Linked DNA regions of Arabidopsis thaliana. The protein of the gene in region 2 interacts with the protein of the main gene of each other region in a pairwise test. Each region holds a gene or a part of one and is shown on either strand. Other genes may lie near its edges.

Region 1 (5,648 bases), on a different chromosome or scaffold from region 2:
TAAGCATGGGTAAAGATAACGTTAAAGCGACAAGATGAAGGAAACAGTCAAACAGTAGAAAGTAGGACTGTAGGACCATGTTTTTATTGAGAAACATTTGTGTGATTTGATATTACATTTTTATTATGCTCTTTTGACATCTGATTTGATCTAACAAAGCCCCTACCTAGCTAGACCTTCTTTGCATTCAACTACAATTATTTACCAGCGTTTTATTCTCTTTAATTCCCTTGAATACTCCATAAACATTGCAGCAAGAAAAAGAAAAAAAATATTACATTGCAACAAGGTAAAATATTAGTATCGAATCGAGAGTTAAAACTTCAAAGCAAAGGATCTTATCAACTGACTGTCAAAAACTCTGTTTCCTAACTTTGATACGTTACTTATTTATTTTATAAAAAAAATTTGTTTTCTTTTGATGAAAAAATATTCAGATTATATATTAACTCTGAATTCAGATTATACAAAAATTCATAACGTGGCTATGAATATCAACTATTGTTAATTAGCATAATTTCAATATAAATGAATTGTTTTGTTTTTGGCATTACAAATTACTTAATTGATTCCATGCATTGTGTAGTTCAAAGCAATATTTACTAATTAATTTTATCTAAAATAACTGAAACTATTTTTTTCGTACTATCATCATTCGACGCATTTTTATATTAAAAGAACTAAATCATCTTTGAAATCGAATTTTCATACATTTTTAATTTTAAAGGGTAATATATTTGATAGAGTACATATTTATTTATTGATTTTTTATATAAAAATGAGTGAACCGTCTATAATTTATAATTAATAATTATATTAGTGTAATAATGCATTTCTGAAGAGGGGATGGATTAGGTGTAGTATAATAATTATATTAATGTAACGTTTTAATCCCCGGGATTAAAGTGAAATATCACCTCACACGTGAACTGTAGTCAAAGTTCCCTACTTCCCGCATGTAAACCTTACATCACAGTCTAAACACTAAACATAACGCATGACCTAATTCACTTTCACACTGGGTGATGTGATGCTTCTACATTACTCATCCCCATATTAGCGCATTGTTTAACAATTCCACATATATAATCAATTTTTCAAGAAGAAGAAACAGAACAACATTATAGATTTCTTTAGATAATAATGAAACACACATCATATATTATTGGTCAACAATTTAACGAGAGAGTTTTGTGAATGTTGTCCGAAACTCATACATAAACACCGTCACAACAGGTAACTGAAACCAATACTTTATAAAATCTTAACATTTAAGCCTACGTACGAGAGATGGTGAAAGAAAGAGACAGGTCTTAATTTCTTCTTCAAACTCAAATCTCCCACACGACTAGATCTGCAAAAGCAGAAAAGAGACCTCGAAATTAAATCACATAAACAATTATATACACACACATGCAGGCACATCCTCCGAAATATGGTAGTATTAGAATTTATACTACAAAAGTCAAAATACACGAAGGCCAAAAAAAGAAAAAAAACCCCAATGAATGCTCTAAAGAAGCGCAAGGTGTGTGTGTGTAATTAAATTAGATTGAGTCAACATTGTTGACCTAAGCCAAACAACATGTCTCTCGCATGCATTTATCCATTTTAGATCCCAATGAAGAAATAAACTAGTACTAATATAGATGTATAAACTATAATTATATAGACATTAAATAAGTATTCATTTTACCATAGTTTATTTAACCGATAGAGTAGTATCTAGCTATAGTGGAACCTTAATTAGTATAACAAAGGAAAATAGAGAGGAAACAAAACCAGATAGTACGAGGCTCCGTGTTGAAGAGGGTGAAGAGCGACGCCATATTCATCGGTGACAATGGGCTGACCCGCGGAATTAATCAGAACAACCTCTTCCCCAAATGCATCCCTCACATTGAACGGTCCTGAGCTCACTTCAAGCTCCATTTCATTGATGAAAACTCTTATTCGTGCGTCCGCTGCATCCATATTTAGCCATTGTTATCCCATTATTTCATGTTAGTATAATGACTATAACAATCTATATAAAACAAAATTGTAAAGCTCACACAATCTATTTTCAAGAAAGAGAGAGAGGGTATATAGAAATAAAGAATCATCTAAAGGCTACTAAACATGAAGGTTTTAAAAAAAGATTTGTATGGATCAATGTGTCCCTTACATTGTTGACACAAAATTAATGTATCTCTACGATTGAGTAAAATTTCAACATGTATATAAGTAATCTATAACTTAAAAAGGGTGATAACTTTATATATTAACATTACCTTGAACTTGAAGCTGGTCCGAAGTTGATGGGACAGTAGCGAGAGAATGCGAAGTAGTAATAGTGGTGGCAGTAGAAGTAGTGGGAGGAATATGAAGCATGATGTTATTGTTGTTGTTGTTGTTGTTGTAAGAAGCTATTTGATGATTAGTGGTAGCGTAACAAATCTGAGTCTGTGGCTGTTGCAACATCTTCATCCTCATTTCTTCAACTTCTTTCTCACTCAAGTGTTGTTGATGATGAGTTCCATAACTCACACTACCGTTCATGATCTCACTCAGCAGGAGTCCGGTACACGTTGGAGCCGGTTTTTGTTGCTCAATCATATCACCGGAGAGAAACCCTAATTGGGATGAGACGGTGATACCTTCAAACCCTCCGACAGTGGAGACCGGGAAGAGAAACGCCGGTTCCGGTGGAAACATCCCCATCATTTGACTACCACCCAAAGAGAGATTAGTGTTGTTCTTGTTCTTGCTTTTTCGGGGTTTGGTGGATTTGGAGGAGGAAGAGGAGGAGGAAGAGGAAGAGGAAGCCGAAGGTTGCGGCTGCGGCTGCGGTTGCGTTTGAGGGAGAGAGTGTTTGGAGTGGTTGTGGAGGAGGCGGAGTTTGTGTTTACTACGGGACTTACGGTTTTGGAACCAGTAGAAGACGTTAGCATCACCGACTTGGCCGTATTCTTGAAGCTGAGCCCTAATCCTCCTGATCTCCTCTCTTGGAGGATTCACCATCCCGGAGTTAAAGATTGCTTCAAGTATCCGAATCTGCTCTGGCTTTGGATTCCATCTTGGTTTTGGCTCTGGACTCCTCTCCACTTCACATCCTAAAAAATTCACAATCTCATCAGATAAGAGTTCTTTAAAACAAAATTTAGTTTTGAATTGGTAAATATGTAGAAGTAGAAGGACCTGAAGAGAAAGGAGAAGATCGGTGAGAAGCAGAAGGCAAGAGAGGAGAGTTGATGTCATGTTGCCATTGATGGGGATGAGGTTTGGACTTGAACATGCTTGGCCAGTGTCTATTCGAAGAAGCCATAACTAATTAACTCGATCCGCAGAACACAGATGTATGTGTATGCATATGATGATGATTGATGTTGAATGATGATGTGATGATGATGTGATGTGTCAAAAAGAGAGGAGGAAGAGACAGGGAACAGAATGGCTAAATGGAAAGATAAATAAAAATGTGAATAGGGCAAAAGGGTTACGACCTCTTTCTCTCCCTCTTATAGCCTCTCTTCACCTACCCAACCTGTTTTCATATATTCATTCATCTCTTTTACATAAATTTAATTTAAAGTCTCACCCATATTTCTATACACCATTTCTCTTTCTCTCTATATCTATGTATCTATCTATGATGTATAGATGTGTATCTATATCATTATGTGTATATGTTTAGTAAAGACAAAAAAAACTATCACTACTTCTCTTGTTTAGGGAATCAAATGAATTAGAGAAGTAGGCTAAATCCTATTAACAGAAATGTTATAAAAGAAAATAGGAACACTGTTTTCATTACGTTTTATTATTAACTACTTCAGTCAAACAGTATGATTTAGTTGCATACTTGCATTAAATAGTTTTGAACAAAAAAAATTGCATTAAAAAGTAAATTTATTAATTCTATAGAAGGTCTTTGATCGCTTATATATAGATTATGAGGAGCACTTTGACATTTTAGATTTGAATCCAGTTTTGCTTGTCATGGTTCAATTATGATAAAATAAAAACTGTTTTAGGGGTTAGTTCCCTTTAGTGTCATCTAGTGGGAAAATGTGTATATCACCAATGGAAATTCAAAAGGCATTATTACAGTATTAAAAAAAGAGTGACAAGGTTAGTATTTAAGTACGTCAAAATGTGCTAGTCGACGAGTAGCCTATATTGCTATAACGTTAAATCACTGATGGATTGACCAATACTTCAATAACAAATAGAAGAAGACAATTTTGGAAATCTTAAATTTCTTCAACAGTCATTTGATTAGTTGTGTATCATGAGCGTTTCTTTTAGCCTCGCAAACAAATAGAAGACCGCATGCATTCACACTGTCTAATAAACCACTTTGAGAGTCCGAAGGAGCTTCACTGAATTAGCCCCAAACCATATCAATCTCACTCACAAATGACCAAATTGATAGCATACCCTGTGGCGAATGCTTAATACCATTAAATAATTTTATCATTTGTGTTTTTCATATATGTACAAAAAAATCCAAAATCCATATGAAAATAACTGATAGAGAGACTAGTTATATGTGCCCAAAAAAAAAAAAAAAGAGAGAGACTAGTTATATAGATTTATAGAGTGGGTACTGAATTATTTAAAAATATTCAATATTTATTATAAGAAATTATTTTAGCAATTTTAAAAAGTTGCCATACAAAGTCATCTGTAATTTTACAAGGGTATTTGAAGCGCACTCCAAAAATTTCTGTTTACTTTAGGTTTATACTAATAGACTCTGAATTCATATTACTAAATTAAAAAATTTAATTAGTAGAGCAATACAGATTTTCTGTTACTACATCCATATTAGAGTTTGCATGGTATTTCATTCGTTTGTTTTGTTATTCACATTCCTAATATCAATTTCTGAGATAGAAAACAGTAAGAGACAGGAAGAAACTCAAAGTGATCATTAATGCAACCCCATGCCTCACTTCCTTACACTTCTTGCATTAAACTCCAAACTGCTTCTGCAGTTCAAACGTACGAACACAAATTTCTTCAGAAATTGAAACAACAGATTCTTTGAAAGTGATCCATGTTTGGTTCTGAACTAGGATTTTTTCTCCTTTTTATTATTTTCTCCTCTGACATCTCAAAAAAAAACATTAATTAAAACAAGACAGAAAGATTGTAAATTTTCTCACATTTTATGTTTATTTATTAACTATAACAAGATGGGTTTTTATTATTTGCTTGTATTACAAAAAAATAAAATCATGTAGTTTCTGGATTTTCAGTCTGTGCAGAAGAGGATTCTCTCGGTCACCTTCGGGGCATCGGCCTTAAATTCGGATGGGGAGCAAATGGTTTGTTTGGACGTAGGAATAGTCATAATCAAATTAGCAAACACGATTTTAGGAGTTTTGTGATGTAATAGTACGGAAAAAAGAAACATGTATTAATGGGGAAAATACGAAATTTTAAGAGGTCAGGATGGGTGGTGGTGTATAGTAATTGCAAAGAAATTAAGGTCATTTTTTTTTGGATTGACTCGAGGGTCTTTGTTGATGATCGTTCCCTTTAATAACGTATTAATAATTCTTCAGTTTCTTTTGAAATATTAAGATTCTTTTCATCTGCATTTATTTCAAATATAAACTAAATGGAGCCTTTTTTATCAGACAAAAAAAAAAAACTAA
Region 2 (6,052 bases):
CAGCTTTCGGACACATCACAACCACGTCATATGGGCTAATCTCTCTCTCTGCCGCAGTACCAGGACTTTTTAATTAACACGTTCACCTTTTCGGAGTTGACCAAACATTTTCGAAATTATTAAATCTCTCCTTAAATAACCCATTACATTATGTAAAAGATAACTTTGGTGATTAATAGATTCATAGATTTGTTTTAGAGTTACATTATTTGGGCCTAAGCCTATTTTACATGGACCTATGTTTGTAGAGTAAAGGTTGTTTTCGGTATCTTATTTTCGTCCCAGGCGCCAAAGGTAAATGCTTTATTAATTGGTTTACATTATTTTTGGAATTCTCAATGGGCTTTACAGTTGCCGATTGCACAAACTGTAGCCCAACTGTGACAAAATCTCCCAAAAGTTGGATCAGCCATTATAACTCCAAATAGTGTGTTATACCGGGTTATTCTGATTTTCACAGAGTTCATTAGTACAAGTAATTGTAACATCAATGAATGTAATGCACCTTGATTAGTATTTTTTTAAGTATGGTGCGTCAAACCGTTTGACCATATATAGTTCGAGATTCTTTCCCTTTCATTAGTTGACATTAACATTGTCCATATGCAATATGTAACTGCGTGATGAATGATAGCTTAGTTTTTTTTTTTGTGAAAAAATAATAGCTTAGTTTTTTTAGTTATGATTTGACCATATATATAGTTCGAGATTCTTCTGCCACTGATCATTTTAGTGAATCACATCGAGAAGTGGACCTTTGACAATAGTTAATCATTTCATCCATTTTAAAAGTATACAAAATCATTGCATTCAAAACAAATTGCAACTTGGCGCTAGCTACATATAATTAGTAAATGTCTTAATGATATAAAATGAATGAATTTAAGCGAGAAGAAAGCTTTGCAACGGCGCATGACCTGGTTTCTACCACGGTGCACCCACCAAACCATTCACCAACAACCAACAAAGACAATCCCCACGCACTATTCAAATCATTCAAACCCGGTGCCTTCTATAACAAAATAGGCTATAATGATGATCACATGACTAATCATGATCATTCATTTGGAAAGATATAATATATTATAGATCCTCTTAAGTTAAACGGCATATGATAATATAAACTTAACTTTTGATTTTGAAGTCCAGCATTACAAGCACACTCTCTAATCCACTATACCTCAACTTTTAATTCTATATAGTACACAAAAAAAGCAGACTTCATTTATTTGATCTACAACTTTTTTTAACTATTCAGTCATTAATTTGGAGTTTTTGAAGATTACAAAAAGGAAGAAGAAGATAAAAATGCTAAAAGACCAATTAATTCCTTCTAATGTAGGGTCTCAATCTCTCTGCAATACAAAAGGCCACACCCGTCGGCTACTGCTTGTCGCTATCATGCACCTATGTGGGTCTTTTTCTGAATAATCATACTTCTATTATTTATACCTTACTAAATTATTGCTTATCCTCCTTATATAAATTATGTACCATTATATATTCAAAAATCATTGAAATCGAATTTTCGAAAAAAAGGGAAATTAAAATTAAAATCTGGCGTTTTCCAAGCCGTGCATATCGCTGACTCGATTTAAATGCTTCCTCATAATAGCCACTTTAGCTAATTTCTCGGCGGCTCTCCAAGCCGAAGTAGGGGTAAGCTGCTCCGGTTTATCTTCAGTTCGGTTTAATATACTATTTCTCGGTTTAATCCGGCTAAGTTCATTTAGCTCAACCTCCAAACTCCTTAAACTATCATCCGAATGAGACGCATTGGACCGAGCCGTCGTTAGAACCTGATACGCTCCGGATAAATCCTCACGCTCGATAAGCCGGCGTGAATCCGCTACAGCGCGGCACATGGAGTGTAAATTTCTCAGCCGTTCGATGCTTGAAGATACATATCTGACGGATTGTGGCCGTGGGATCAAAAATCGTTTTTCTTTAGGACATGTCATTGGCTGATGTGTCATTTGGTCAACGATCGACGACTGTACGGACATTACTTGGTGGGAACCACTCGACGAAGTCGGCACTTTGAGCTCAACGAGAAACTCTCTCTCCTCCTCCGCAAACAAATCTCCGACTTGGATGACAGAACCGGATCCGAAATTCTCGAGTCGACCGGTTAAAGAGTAAACCGATGAAATCTCAGTCAAATGAGATCCGTTGACCAAACTGAGATTTAGCTTCACGTTATGGAGAGTCACGTTGAGCAACGAAGCGATTCTTTCGGTGAACGCGTCTCGTAGCGGCGCGTGAAGCAACGCTCCAGGAGAAGCAATGTAAACGGAATGAACCGGGATCTCCGGACGAGAGAAACGCGTGGTAGACACGACGAACGGAATGCGCGTTGCGTTTAGTTTAGCTTTCAAAACTGCCTCCGGTTGATCTTGACCGTCCGATAAAACAAAGATGCTCGTTGACGGATTCTTCTCCCGCCGATCTTCAACGACTTTAACCGCTTTCTTCAACGCGTCGTTAACGCTCATTCCAACTCCGCCGGTGGTTTCCATTCCGCCGAGTGCGTCGACCATTCGCCGCGCCGATCGTCTTCCTTTCGCCGTCATTCGTCGTAACGGCATTAACCGTTTTGACCCCGTCGAGAAAACGACGATCGATAAACGATCCATTTCTCGGAGAAGAGAGATCACCGATCTCATCGCGTGTTTAACCGTTTGCAAATTAGCACCGCCGTTGCTTAAATCGAGAACCGTTACCAGATCTATCGATGGTCTTCGCGCCTTAATCGCATCGGTGATGGACGACGGCGACGGAGACGCTTTTAGTTTCATGATGACGACGTGTGTCTCCTTCTTTTTCCCGGTTTCCACAACGGCAGATTCCGGCAGCAACTTAACCTCCAGATTTCCTGAGATTGAAGGAACCATATCAGACGTAATCGAAGAATCTCGGAAGAATCCGGGGAAGTCATCGTCATCTTCAACGTCGTCGTTTTCGTCTGATTCATGTATAGTGTTGATCTGAGCAAGAGAAACCGGCGAATAAGCTAACGGCTCATCGTCGTTGTACACTCTCAGTGACTTCCCCGTTTTGATCTCTCGGATCTCGGGTCGTCTAATCGGGTCGGATCCGAAGTTATTATTAACAGCCGGATAATTCGACTTTGGCGCGTGATTCCATGCGGCAGAGCAAAACGGACAACGCTTGTCTTCTAATCCATTGACGCAAGAAAGGTGAAACGAATGTGAACACTCCGCCGTGAAAATTGCCGCCGTCGAGTTGCTTTGATTTGAATTCACTCTCTGCAAACAAATCGCACATCTACTACTATTACTCTGCATCCACACACACACAAAACGGAGCTTTAGATTATGTCTTTCAAATTAAGAACTTGATTGAATCAAAAGTAACTACCTTGTTGAGAAGAAGCGTGGCACGGAGGAGAGAGACGCCGCCGCCGCCTTGAGAGGAAGAAGAAGATGATGATTTAGGAGAAGAAGGGTTAGAGAAAAACTTGGGACTTGAGCTGTTACTAGTCCTTGGAGTAGCATTGCTCGTAGTCCTGCAATGGAGTTTGGGACTAGTTGGAAGAGATGGGATAGTGACTGATGTGGAAGCTGAGGAGCGGCATCCAGTGCCGCTTCCGCCGCGTGATCGGAGACGAGGAGTTGAAGGGTTGGATAAAAAACCAAACTTTGATCGGAATCTTGGTGTGGGAATTGGAGGATCAGTAGTGTGTAATGATGAATGTTGTTGAGGTTTATCTTGATTACTTGAAACGGAAGTGCAAAACGCTTTTCTCCAACCAAACACCATTTCCTGTGAGAAAGAAATAAGAAGAGAAGCTCTCTTTTTTTCTATATTATTCTTCTTCTTCTTCTTCTTCTATTTGTGGAAGTAATTATAGAGAAGAAGAAGAAGGACTTTGGGCATAATGGATCATAAGGAAGATGGAGAAATTAAATACTAAGATAAAGACTATAGAGAGATTTCTTTTTCTTTAGTGATGTTTCGATAAAGACATTTTTTTTTATGTTATTTTAAGTTGTAGGAATATTATAAGGTAAAAATTGTGACTTTTATGCGTGTGAATTGGCTTTTGTTTCCATTTGCATGTAATTGTTTTGCCTCGAAGAAAATAATCACTGATCCGTTAAGTCCTTCTTTTTTTTGGGTCAATTTTGCTATTTTTTTTACATATTTCAAGTGTTGTTTCATTGGGATGGACGATAAAGTTAAAAGTCAACGGTAATAACCGACCATATGCAAAATGAGATTTCAAATAACTTGAGACGCGGAGATCTTTGTTTTCCATTTGCATGTAAAATCTTTCTTTTCAAAATATTAAACAGTTTATTAGATTGTCTAATGTGGATTCCTCTTGAATGTTCCACAATGTGGTTCGATTATATAAATCATTTCCAATCTTATCGGATTCTTCGAAATGCAGATTGTGATGGAGTGTAAGGTCAAACATGTGGGCACGTGACGTTACAGTCTGAGCAATAAACGGTAAGCTTATTTTCCTTACGAAATATAAATGATACTAAAACACGTTGTATTCGAGTTATCTTCATGATTGTGAATTGAGTTGTATATTTAATTGATAGTTGCTTACGTAATTACATACTGGCTGGAGCGAGGAATTTAACCTAAAGTTTTGGGTTTGGAATTTTGTAAAAGGTCTTTGATGGAGAAAGGTCGAAAAGTTTTTTTTTTTCATTTATTTACCAACAAAATGATTTATAATATATGGTGACGACAAGAGCTAATGATATGACATAAAGATTAGACTGGTCCAGGTCCAGCAAATTTTGAATTCTTCTTGCTATTGCAAAAAAATTGATGGTTTTGGTCTGATTTTGATTTCGACACTTCTATTATTTTGATTTGACAACCTTTTAGATTGGCTGATCAAGTGCTCGAGATAATTAGTGTCCTAAATCAAAGGTATTAACTCCAAAATACAAATTACTGCAATTTGTGGCCTCTAGTATCTTGCAGTTATGCTGAAGAGCCACATGAATGAATGAAACAATAAATGGGTGGGTACATATATGATAAGGGGGCTGCTAAACAAAATTGTAGTTAAGCATTTGTAAATGGTTTGGTAGGTTTTTTAAGTGGCTGCCATTGTAGAGACAACACATGACTTCGTGCGTGCATGCCATGGAATCATTGATTATCAACCAAAAAATGAAAATATTAGTTAGTTAATCTTGTTAAGAATGTAATGACTTATATTATACGAATAGCTTTACACAAGTATATATACAAGTACAGAGGAGGTTACACTAGGGTTGTACAAATATAGAATGTTCCATAAAGGAGACAGAGGAATATTATGATATTAAAGAGAGATGATCCTATGTATCCTTAACACGCCCCCTCAAGATGGAGGGGCTATGCACACTCCAATCTTGTCTCGAAGTTCCGTGAAGTGATTTCGAGGAAGCGGTTTTGTTAATGCATCAGCGAGTTGGTCTCTAGTGTTGACGTGAGCCACACGAAGAATGCCTTGCTGAACTTGTCCACGAATAAAGTGATAGTCTATGGCTATGTGCTTCATCCTGGAATGGAAAACCGGGTTTGCGCAAAGGAAAGTAGCACCCACATTATCACAATAGACCACAGGCGGTTTGGGAAGTGTGATCCCAAGCTCCGTGAGAAGGCTGCATATCCACTGGATTTCACAAGCAGTATTTGCCACCGATCGATATTCAGCTTCTGTTGAAGACCTTGCAACGCTCTTTTGTTTCTTGGCAGTCCATGAGATTGGATTTTTCCCGAGGTAAACGATGTAAGCATTTGTTGAAACGCAATCTTCTGAGTCTCCGGCCCAATCTGCATCTGAAAAGGCATGAAGGGAGAGCTCGTTTTGAGCAGCAAAGAAAATGTCGTGAGTCGTAGTTCCAGCCAAATATCTAAGAACTCGTTTTGCAGCTTGCCAATGATCATTGGTTGGTCTGTGCATAAACTGAGAGAGGCGGTTTACAGCATATGCAATATCAAGTCTTGTGAATGCAAGATACTGCAAACTTCCAACAAGCTTTCTATACTCAGTAGGGTCGGAGAGAGTTATACC
Region 3 (6,448 bases), on a different chromosome or scaffold from region 2:
GCGCTCATTGTTCCTCTATCTCTCCAATTCCTCCGAAGCAAATCTTCTTAACTAAAACTTCCTCTCGCACGTGGTTTCGTTTTCATTCGTAAGTTTTCTTTTAGCGATTGTGCAATTTTCGAGACATTCAATCGTCGTTCTCGATCGTTCTAATTAGGGTTTCCGCGACTCTTTTTAGGCCGCTTAAACAATATTAAGGAGATTCCTTTTATTGACTAAAATTAAGAGTTAGATAACTGAATTTTGGTTTTGAAACCCTTCCCTGTTTTCATACGGTACCAGGTCAGGTTAAATTAAAGATTATGGGAGGCGTAGAAGGTAACCAGTGGTTTGATAAGTTTATGGACGAAGTCGGATTGGTATTTACCAAGGTTGACGAATCGATACAGAAGGTAAGTACTCTTGTTCTTCTGGTTTGATCTTTATTTGATGTTTATGCCCTAAAATTCAAGAGTTTATGGTTCTGTCTATGTTGTGTGGCTAAAAGACTAAACCTATGTTCTTTTATCATCATCATCATCATCATCATCAACGCAAAGTATATGCTACGAATTGATGTAGATAATGTATTTTAGTTATTAGTGTATTTAGTAGTTAAAACAGAATTAAGGTTTCCAAGGTTCTTTTAGATTTTTTTTTTTCTTAAACGATGAAGAGTATAAAAAAAAGTTTTGCATAAGATCTGAAAATAGAAAGACCAAGAGATCATAGAAAGACAGCTTCAGTTCCATCAGATATTTTATTAGATTTATGGAAACCTAATTGATCACGGTCTAATCCTTTTGAAAACCAGAACTATTCATGATAGTTAGATCTTTCCATAAAACAGGCTTCGATTGTCAAAACTTACCGTTTACATGACAACTTTTCTTTGATTTGGTTTTTCTTTTCTATATTTTCAGAGTATTGAACTCTGGACAGAGTTAACCAAAGACATATTTGACGACCAGCCTAACCAAGACTTGACCGGACAGCCAGATAATGGTGGATCTGGTGATGAACATTCCTCTCAATATCCTGTCTCTGAGGTCAAAGAAAGACCGATTCAACACTGGTATATGTGCCTTTCTGACGTAAAAGAAAAACCGCTTCAACACTGGTCTATGTGCATTGCTGAGGTCAAAGAAAAACCGAGCCAACACTGGGCTATGCGTGGTATGTGTTTTATATATAGTATATATTACATTATAGTTATTGTAAATACCATTAAATTAAAGTAGCTAGAACATCAGCACTTTTTTGGTTTCTTGACTGACAAGTATCATATTGATTTTCTTGGCAGCTTCAAAATTCCCAGAGAGTTTCACTCAAGCACAAGGTGGTGATGATTGTTATGAAAATTATGGTGATGGTGCTGATGGTATTGATGATGATGATTATGATGAAGAGAATAGTGTAAGTTTGAAGCACTTTTCCCATTTTCATATCAAAGCTCATTAACTAGAATAAGTAAATCACCATGGATTTTGTATAACGGAATTTTGGTAAATTTAATTAGTTGCTACTTTGTTTATTGTCTCTGACTGAATCTTTCTGATATAGGAATCGAGTTTGAAGTGGAACTGTGACTATCAGCTGTTAAAGAGTGGCTACTTGTCTTTCGATGAAGAAGAAGAAGAGGATAATGACGATGAAGAAGATGTTGACATTTTCTCCGAAGATAGTGATGATTCATGGAATGAGGATTTTGATGATGAAGATGAAGAAGCGGATACTACAGTTTTTAAATATTCCGAAAACATGTCGGAGCTTGATTTGGGATCAGCGACGAATTATACCCCTAGTTCCTACGATCATCGTAATGAAAAAGATAGTGTAAGTTTTTGTGTAGCAGTTTTTTTCACATTTTTATACCTATGCTCATACAAAAACTAGGAAAATGATCATCTATGAAATGTTGTTATTTTAATCAGTTGCTGATTTGGTTATTGTATTTGTGATTAGGGTTCAAGTTTGACGTGGAAAGGTGGTTATCAGCAGTTATATAATGTTGACACGTCTTCCGACGAAGAAGATGAAGAATCATGCGATGAGGAGGATGATGAAGCTGGGGAATATCACTCTGAAGAAGCGATGGAGATGTCGCGCGAGCAGAGAATGAGCGAGCTAAGGAAAGTGCTTCATGACGATGAAGATGACGTATCACAAGGATTTGTGAATGTGAGGCGAGAGACAATTGCGAAGAATACGGAATTTGGTGAGGTCGAGACCCTTTTACCAGATGGTGATTGGGTTTATGTGAAGAGTGCTTAGGGCTCTGATCTTTTGGCAAAAAATGTGTGTGATTTGATCGAGTTTATACTTTACATCGGCTTTAATGATATTTATTTGTGTAGTTTTTTGAGTGTTTCATTCGTTTTTCACAAGGCTTATGTCACTCTATTAACTTGGGGTTTAATACCAAATAGTGTACTTTTTCTTATCATTATTGTTTGTCTTCTTTGCCATTCGATCATGTGATCTTTTAGATTATCTTAAGGTACCTTTCCAGTGGAATCATCGACATTTGGTCTATACATGTATTTTGAGCTCAAACACTAATGCAAAACCACAATCCCACCAAAATCGATTTAACACTAGTTTTGGTTTATTGGACCAAACCAAGTAGAAAACCAACAAAACCACCAGTACCGTGATTATTTTCTTTTCTAACGCGTAATAAATATCTTTTATGGCTTTATTATGCACTCTCATTGCGAAAAAAGAAAAATCCAAAGGCTTGGAAAATCGACAAAAACGAAAAGGGTAGTGGTGAGATGTTTCATCATTCTCTGTTTCAGTTCGGTAATGGCGGAGATTTGCTATTTTGGGGGTCTAGTCCATTATAAATCACCATCTCTTCCTTTGTCTCTTCATTCTCTCTTCCGCAGCAAGAAGCCACATTACTACAATTCCACTTCTCTCATGGCTGAATGTCTCTCCTCCTCCACCGTGGAGCCTCCTTCTCTCCTCGTCTTCTCAGGTTCCACTTTCTTCCTCTTCCTTGTTTCGTGGGTCTCCCTAAAGTTACGATTTTTATGTCGATAAGATCGTCTATTTGTGTTAGATCTTGACCAATTACTTAGAATTTGACATTTGTTAATTCTGTTTGTTGCAAAGTGCAAAGCTTTATCATTGTCTTACATTGGTTTAGGTAGTTTTCTTTTGCTCTGAATTTTGGAAAACGTTATATTTGTTGCTATGAAGGTGGTACTGGATTTAATGGTGTGGTTGAAGAGTTGAAGAAGTTAACAACACGAGTCGCTCATGTTCTTCCTGTCTCTGATGATGGTGGAAGTACTGCTGAGATTGTTCGTGTTCTCGGTAAGTTTTAGAACTCACTAACATTGCTACAAGACCCAGATTATATATGTTTTAGCTTCTTTAAGTTTTTACCAGAAGTAATCTAAGCTCAATATCTCCGTTGCTATAGGAGGGCCAGCGGTTGGTGATATACGTTCGAGGTGTTTAAGGCTGTCTGATGAGAGTACTTCAGAGGCACTTGCTGTTAGGCGGTTGCTTGGCCATCGCTTACCTATTGATGCACATCAGGCCAAGAAAGATTGGTAATTTATCCAATGACTATGTTTTCTTTATGCACATAGTGTGGTCTACTCTATAAGCTACACATTTAAGGTTCTGTGGTGGACAATATTGTGTAATATACCATTGGCTGAGTTGGAACTTTGACAGGTACGATATTGTAGAAGGTAATCATTCTCTGTGGGATGGTGTATCAAGACCCTACAGTGAAACAATTCGCGCTTTCTTGATATACTTTCAGAATGAGGTAATGTTAACTGATACAGAGAAACATGTTTTTATTGGTTTCATATTTGATCAGTTCCAAGTTCCAACTTCTTGATTGTTTAAATTTTTCTTTACCTTAATATTCTGTCATTTCTTACTTGACATGTTTCTTATGATACAGATTCATAGGCGACCTAATGAGAGATTTTGCTTCAGTAATGGAAGGTATTGAAGATCTTTTTCTCGGCTTCAACTGTGTATTATTTTGTTCGCCTGTTTAGTAACTCACTTATGATTGTTTCCTTCTTGTAGCATTGGGAACTTCTTCTTTGCAGGAGCAAGGATATTTTTCCAGTCTTTAGATGCTGCAATTTTTCTGTTTTCACGTGTTTCAGAGATTCCTTGTGACAGTTTGGTCCTCCCAGTGATATCAACCAATGATAGGCTAACACTAGGATGTGAATTACAGGTATGAAGCTTGATCTCTATTTGAATTCCCGCAGCTAGCTTATGGAATCCCATTCTTGTCCACAAATATCGCAGCTAAAGCATCATTATTTGCGGGAAGAAGTATCGCTTTCTATACATAAATCTTGGCTGTCGCTTCACTGGCCATCTTCTTGGTTTAAACAATTAATGGCAAGATTGAGGTGGCAAATTTGTTCGCAAACTAACAAGTTATGACTTTAATTTGTAGGATGGGACTATAATACGCGGACAGAACGAAATTTCTCACCCGACCACTGGGACTACGCAGACAGTTGACAAGGTGTTCTATTTGAATATCTTACATTGGTGTTTTTTGATGATCACGAGAACTAAGTTTACTATATACTTGTATCAATTAAAAATGTCAATTTTGCCATATGTAGAATTTATTTTCTTACATTGTCTTTCTATGTTTCTAGTAGAGACATTGTTCTACTTCCGCTCTCCCATCGAAGATAAAGAGAGTGTTTTACATGTCAAGTGAAGGCAATAATCTGCTTCATGAGGTTAACTACTCTGCTTTTATATATACAGAATGTCCTAGATATCTTCAATGTTATCTCTAATGATTCTGATTCCCTTTAAGAAACTCTATCGTTTTAGTTCTCTACTTCATTTCTTTGTTTTGCACGGTGTATTTGACATTGCAAATGTTTGGTGTTATGTCCATTAAACAGGTCTTCCCACCAGTTAACCCAACTGTCCTAGAGCAGTTGAGAAGCGTGGACTGTATCGTTTACGCAATGGGATCCCTGTTCACTTCCATTTGCCCATCACTGGTTAGCACCCGCAATAAATATGTTGTGCAAAAATGGTGGATTACTAAATTTGTGATAACTGTTATAGACAAGTCTTTCTGTTCATCAGGTTTTGCTTGGTGTTGGGGAGATTATCTCTTCCAGGTCATGTCGTAAGGTATGCTGAAGCTTGTCAAAAATACTAATGATGGTAAAAATCAATCTGATTTCTTCTCTCTGTCACAGGTACTTCTTTTGAACGGTAGCCAAGACCGAGAAACAAGCAGGTTCACCGCTTCCTGCTTTGTGACTGCTATCGCTGACGCTCTCAACAGAACTCATGGAGATACTAATATTCGGCTCAAGAATCCCGTGAGTGGTTCTTCACAATCCACACTCTTTCGATGTCTTCTTTATCAGACATATATCGATATCCAAGAACATCATTTTTGTGTGCAGCCTGGATATTACATCAACACTCTCTTGGTCCCGAAAGATGGAGAAATAGCAGTAGATCTCAAACAATTGTCTGAACAAGGGATATATGATGTTGTCAGTATCTCTTTCCTTCACTTGTTTCCAAGTTTATGTGCACAACAAACACTCACTGTTACCTCCACTCTATTGCAGAGAGTCGTGGAGAGTGTTGGTGACCCGAAGCACGGTATCTTGTTCAACCCGAGCTCACTGATAAACACACTGGCCGGTTTGGTGGAGTAAATAGTGATTCTTTAGGCCAGAGCTAGTTTCTTCTTCTACGCAATTGGGACCATGATTTTTTTGTTACTGTTTAGTTTGATCCTTTAGTGAATTGATATGAAAGGTTATGAATGGTCAATGATCATATTCTTAGCTAAGGAAAGACAAACGCCTCTCTTTCTCTCGGAGTTGTATCATATGTTTTTTCTTACACGTTTTACATATAACTACTGTACAGATGAATACAGTTCACTTTCCAATGAAACCAAATGATGACATTTCTACATAACTATGTGTGCTTTTCATTCCCAAACAAGCAAAGGCATCTTTGTTTCTCACTGTGTATTAACATGTGTGCTTTTACTAAAAAGATGTATTAAAGCAAAGCAAATGATGCCAGCAACAAACAGAGCGTGCCCTGAGATTGGTAGGGCCCTAAGCCCATACAACTTTGTTGGCCCTTTCAGTTAAGTTTAGAAAAGAATCACTTGTTCAATAACCAATGTTAATTGTTGAAAGATGAATTTAACCGAAGATTTCTTTACAAGTTTTTGACACAGTGATCATAATTTTATAATGCTCACAAGTAGCAGTACGTGACTCTTGTAAGTCAAGTAGAGAGACATAAATATACCAAAATATTAAACTTGTATGATGACAATGACGCATCCATTTGAGCCCATGCTTCATTGCTCCTCCATTCAGTGATTGGGCAGACATATAATATGTATTGTTTTAGACACTTTGTTTCTAGTCATTCGTTGCGGAAATGACAAACAAATCAACTTTTTAAC
Region 4 (4,222 bases), on a different chromosome or scaffold from region 2:
TTTGCATCATATGATCCATCAGAAATGGATATGAAATTGCCACAAAAGGAAGATATAAATTTCGAATTTGTGAACCTTTAGTCAAAACTATACTCTAATCCTAAAGACCTTAAAGTCCATAAACTATACTCTAAATGTGCTAGACATCAAAACACCAATGCATCCATTCATTACAAAATCAGCCAGTGCGATATCTTAACACCGAAAGAATACCTCCACTTTGATGATAGAAAACTATATAGTATCATGAACATAATACATTTTGAGCAGCTTACACATATATAACTGTTTGGATACTCATGTTGTTCAAATATCACAAACAACAAAATTTACCTGCCTGTTAGGATCCTTGGATCGTTCTGCAGAAAGGAATGCAATCGCCATGAAATAATCATCCCATGATAAGTACCTTCACAACAATTCAAACAAAATTCTACCATTAAAAATCAAAGCAGATTCTAAACTTGGGATTTTCTGAAAGTTGGAAACTTTAGCTATGGAATAACGAAATTAGATATATTGAATGGAATTATGACAAACCCATTTCGTTTCAAAGGACTGAAAGGATCTAGAGCAGGGAATTTTCTGGAAATTGCAGAGATTTCGGTGGAAGTGAATTTTCGGGATTTGGGGTTTTTAGGGTTTGATGAGAAGAAGCGAAATGCTAGAGCTGAAATCAAAGCACCGAAGATTGCAGATGTAGAGACGAGTGTAAGATCTCGAGAGTTCATGGGGAGCTTCAAAATCGATAAAACAGATTTATCCAGAAAAATCTTTGCTCTTCTCTCTTCACTATTAAATGTAGCGGGAAACTATAAGAGAGTGAAAATCCCCGCCATTCCGGTTAAGGCAGGTCTATCATTCGGTTCATATGATTGTTGGTTTAGGTTTCGGTTAATAACTAGATTGGTTTACTGATTGTGCTTTCTCTTCTCAGCAGAAAATTATGGCAATTAACAGATTTTGGTTAATTTCATTTTTTTCAAAAATTATGTGTTATTGAATCATTTATTTTATTATTTGTTATTTTTTTTTATTTTTTTTAGTATTGAGTGCTACCAATATATTTTTTGGATAAAAAAAACTATACCGGTCCAGATTTGATATCTCAACCATCTCTTCTATATTTCTATTAACTATGGATTTAAACTTTTTTGTATCGTTGATGTTTTGACAATCTTTTCAATTCACAAAAAGGTTATAAAAGATTGATTTTGAAATTTTGGTTAATGATCTTGTGAAAAAATTGACATTACCTTTCAAAATTTTTTTTTATAACTATAGTTCTATATTCTTATTTTGCGCTTTTAAGATACCGTCTCTGACTTTTTTATTGGTAGGCACGGTTGTGTATACCTATATAAGTTTTAGTTTTATTTCGCTATTTAGTTTTCTTTTGTCTAATGTAATGTAATATGAACTGGATAGATTAAGAAAACATAAAGTGGAAACGAACAAAGTTTGAAAAATAACAAATAATTGGAAACGTACATGAAACTATGAAACACATGAAACAAGTTAATAACTTTAAAAAAAAAACATTGAAAGCATTACGTACATTTTTATCTATAAATAACAAAATGTATTTAAAACATAACGACCAGGCAATCGTAGATCACAACACAATTCAGATTAGCTATTAAACCTGTGGAATTTTGTTTTTTTTTGTCATTTAGAGCGTCTATACTAATTAATGTAATTGAGATTGCAGCGGAAAGACTCAAACCCTAGTTTCCGAATTCTCAATCCTATAAATCTGTTATAATCTTTCAACTATTTAAATCACATATATAAATAAAATATAAACTGTTATATGAGAAGAATTTGATTAAATTACTAATATATACGGACTAAGCACATAGTAAGTGAGCTAGTTGCTAGCTTTTGAATCCATTAAGCCACGTGCATCACCAATTATTACACAACCCACATCCACATTTTCATTTTTTTAAAAGGATACGTTAATTAACAAATATACAATCGCAAAGTTATTAGTTACAAAAACATATAAAATGAGATAGATGATGAAAAAGTGAAAAGGGTTTCTTTAAAAAGCCTCTCATGCTTCAATAACGTGATCCGTTTATATCCCATCTTCTCTGTCTTTTCTTCAACGGAGATTTTCTCTACACCTTAACTATTTTTTTTCTTCCTATTTCTATCTTCGTTTTACTAACCTACCCTCCATTATTTTCACTTTACAAGTATGCTCCTCTTATGTTTTGGAAAAAAAAAAAACAATGAAATTTTGCAATTGCAAGTTATGTCATAATATATAGTAGCTTTAACGTAAAAAACAACATTAATCACGTTTGCGTTTACATGTTTATATTATTTCGACATAAACGCAAATAACATGTTCATCATTATAAAACATTCTAAAAATTTGGTTATTGGTGACTATTTATTTTGTAACTCGACAAAACTTAAAAAATCTTATATATCTAACCTATTTTTAACTTTAGTTGATTGTTGTACAATCACATCATTTCGTCTTATCATGGAACCACACTTGACAACAAATTCACATAATGGCGGTACGGTGGTCGTTTGTTAACTTTGAGGATTATATAAAAACCCAATGATCAAATAACCCAAAAAGATATGCATATTCGAATAAGGGGTTATAAGTGTAATTTCAAGTAGATAGTATATGTGCACAGACACGAAGCAGCTTACATATAAAGTGATTGGTAATTGCCATCCCCACACTTATTGAGAAGTGCAGCCTTTTAGCCAAAAAAAACAAACAAGAATACAAAAATGGCTGAACAACAAGATCATCACAAAGAGCTTCAGCTTTTACCTTCTCCACCGTCTACCGAATCTCCGGTAAGGAAACACCGACCAACAGTTATAACAACCGACCATCACAACAATCACCACCGTTCCTCCTCCATGATCCACCACGATCTTGACCTCAAACTCTCCATCAGCCTCAGCTCGATCTCAACAGCGGAGGAGCTTCCAAACGGTGGTGTGGAGGCGTTGAAGTGGCAAGCCGCGGAGCAGATAAGGCTTGCGGCTATAGAGAAGGCTTACGCCGAGAGGGTTAGAGAGTTGACTCGCCGTGAGATGGAGATGGCTCAGTCTGAGTTTGCTCGTGCAAGGTAGTTAAAGCTAGCTCGATCAAGTAATAATTCTGGTTTTGGTTTGGTTAACGGTTTTGAATTGTAACCAGGGTGATGTGGCAGAAGGCAAGGGAAGAAGTGGAGAGAGCTGAGAGATTGAAGGAGAGATCAATGACGAAGATCGATACGGCTTGCTTGGAGATCACTTGCCACTCTTGCAGACAAAGGTTTAGGCCATAACATAAGTATTTATTTGTTTCTCTTAATTATTGTTATTATAAATGGATATTTGAAGAGAAAGAGAATGTTGGTTTAATTTAAATTTTATTTTGTAGTTAAATTTAATTTGTTTTCATTTTCGAGTTTGGTAATATTATATAGTCCTTCCTTTTTATTTTCTTGAAATCGAAGGAAAACAATATGCTCAGATAAGAGATGATTTATGTTTCCAGCTACTTTACTTCCTCTTCTTTGCCAACCAAAAAAAAAAAAAAAAAAAATCATGAATACCATTTAGTGAATTACTTGGGAATTAGGGATAAAATTCATTAGTTACGTTGTCAACATTAGCTATGTCAATTCCTCAACGATCAGCTATTATATACTATATGGAGTATTAAAATCTAACTATGACATTTATTAACCAACAGAACAAAACCTAATTAGTAATTACAGTGATTAGTTAGTTAAATGCTTGATGTTAAAGTAACAAGAGATGGAGTGACATTCACAATCGAGGAACGTGGAAAATAAAAAAGAGAATGGACGGATTGCATGATTTGAATATAATTGGCTGACCCATATGTGATTCATTTGATTTGTTGTAATCATCTTTGAAAACGTTCGTTCAATGAAAATTGATGATTATTCTGAAAACAAATAATCAAACACACGTAAAGACATATGCATGGAGATGATGGGTATAATTATTGCATTAACATGCTTATTTCATCTACTTTAATCTCTTAGGTCGCTTTAAATAGTATATATGTGTGTACTATTATTTTGTGTTTGTGCATATACGTACATTTACTTACAGAAACTTGATAAATGTATGAATATTTTTGATAAGAGAGAGGATTAATTTTAATTATGTACTTCGTAGACTATGGTTTAAATCAATCGTGTACTACAGATAATATGTTCAAATT

Evidence for each region.
Region 1: the proteins of WAVH2 (region 2) and HB-3 interact in a two-hybrid assay, tested with the Arabidopsis thaliana proteins (one large-scale study listed by BioGRID).
Region 3: the proteins of WAVH2 (region 2) and MEE18 interact in a two-hybrid assay, tested with the Arabidopsis thaliana proteins (one large-scale study listed by BioGRID).
Region 4: the proteins of WAVH2 (region 2) and AT3G48550 interact in a two-hybrid assay, tested with the Arabidopsis thaliana proteins (one large-scale study listed by BioGRID).

Annotation. Positions count from the first base shown.
Region 1 is NC_003071.7:14,340,291-14,345,938, forward strand, and holds HB-3 (homeobox-3), read right to left. Parts: upstream 3,489-5,648; 5' UTR 3,308-3,488; coding exon 3,181-3,307; intron 3,096-3,180; coding exon 2,274-3,095; intron 1,965-2,273; coding exon 1,747-1,964; 3' UTR 1,355-1,746; coding exon of another isoform or gene 1,349-1,354; 3' UTR 1,132-1,348; downstream 1-1,131. UniProt on the Arabidopsis thaliana protein: Homeodomain transcription factor required for meristem growth and early development. Promotes cell proliferation and prevents premature differentiation in meristematic tissues during postembryonic development.
Region 2 is NC_003076.8:26,259,203-26,265,254, reverse strand, and holds WAVH2 (Zinc finger (C3HC4-type RING finger) family protein), read right to left. Parts: upstream 4,120-6,052; 5' UTR 3,784-4,119; coding exon 3,382-3,783; intron 3,303-3,381; coding exon 1,551-3,302; 3' UTR 1,085-1,550; downstream 1-1,084. UniProt on the Arabidopsis thaliana protein: Probable E3 ubiquitin-protein ligase involved in the regulation of root growth. Acts as a positive regulator of root gravitropism.
Region 3 is NC_003071.7:14,395,510-14,401,957, reverse strand, and holds MEE18 (maternal effect embryo arrest 18), read left to right. Parts: upstream 1-2,682; coding exon 2,683-2,962; intron 2,963-3,186; coding exon 3,187-3,303; intron 3,304-3,412; coding exon 3,413-3,545; intron 3,546-3,657; coding exon of another isoform or gene 3,658-3,672; coding exon 3,673-3,769; intron 3,770-3,910; coding exon 3,911-3,954; intron 3,955-4,041; coding exon 4,042-4,198; intron 4,199-4,426; coding exon 4,427-4,498; intron 4,499-4,640; coding exon 4,641-4,724; intron 4,725-4,895; coding exon 4,896-4,997; intron 4,998-5,085; coding exon 5,086-5,133; intron 5,134-5,201; coding exon 5,202-5,327; coding exon of another isoform or gene 5,328-5,414; coding exon 5,415-5,675; downstream 5,676-6,448. Other genes in the region: AT2G34100 (nonsense-mediated mRNA decay-like protein), read left to right, coding at 303-392, 903-1,155, 1,283-1,395, 1,543-1,815, 1,945-2,253.
Region 4 is NC_003074.8:17,991,285-17,995,506, forward strand, and holds AT3G48550 (SHOOT GRAVITROPISM-like protein), read left to right. Parts: upstream 1-2,534; 5' UTR 2,535-2,763; coding exon 2,764-3,110; intron 3,111-3,181; coding exon 3,182-3,311; 3' UTR 3,312-3,495; downstream 3,496-4,222. Other genes in the region: AT3G48540 (Cytidine/deoxycytidylate deaminase family protein), read right to left, coding at 334-409, 541-731.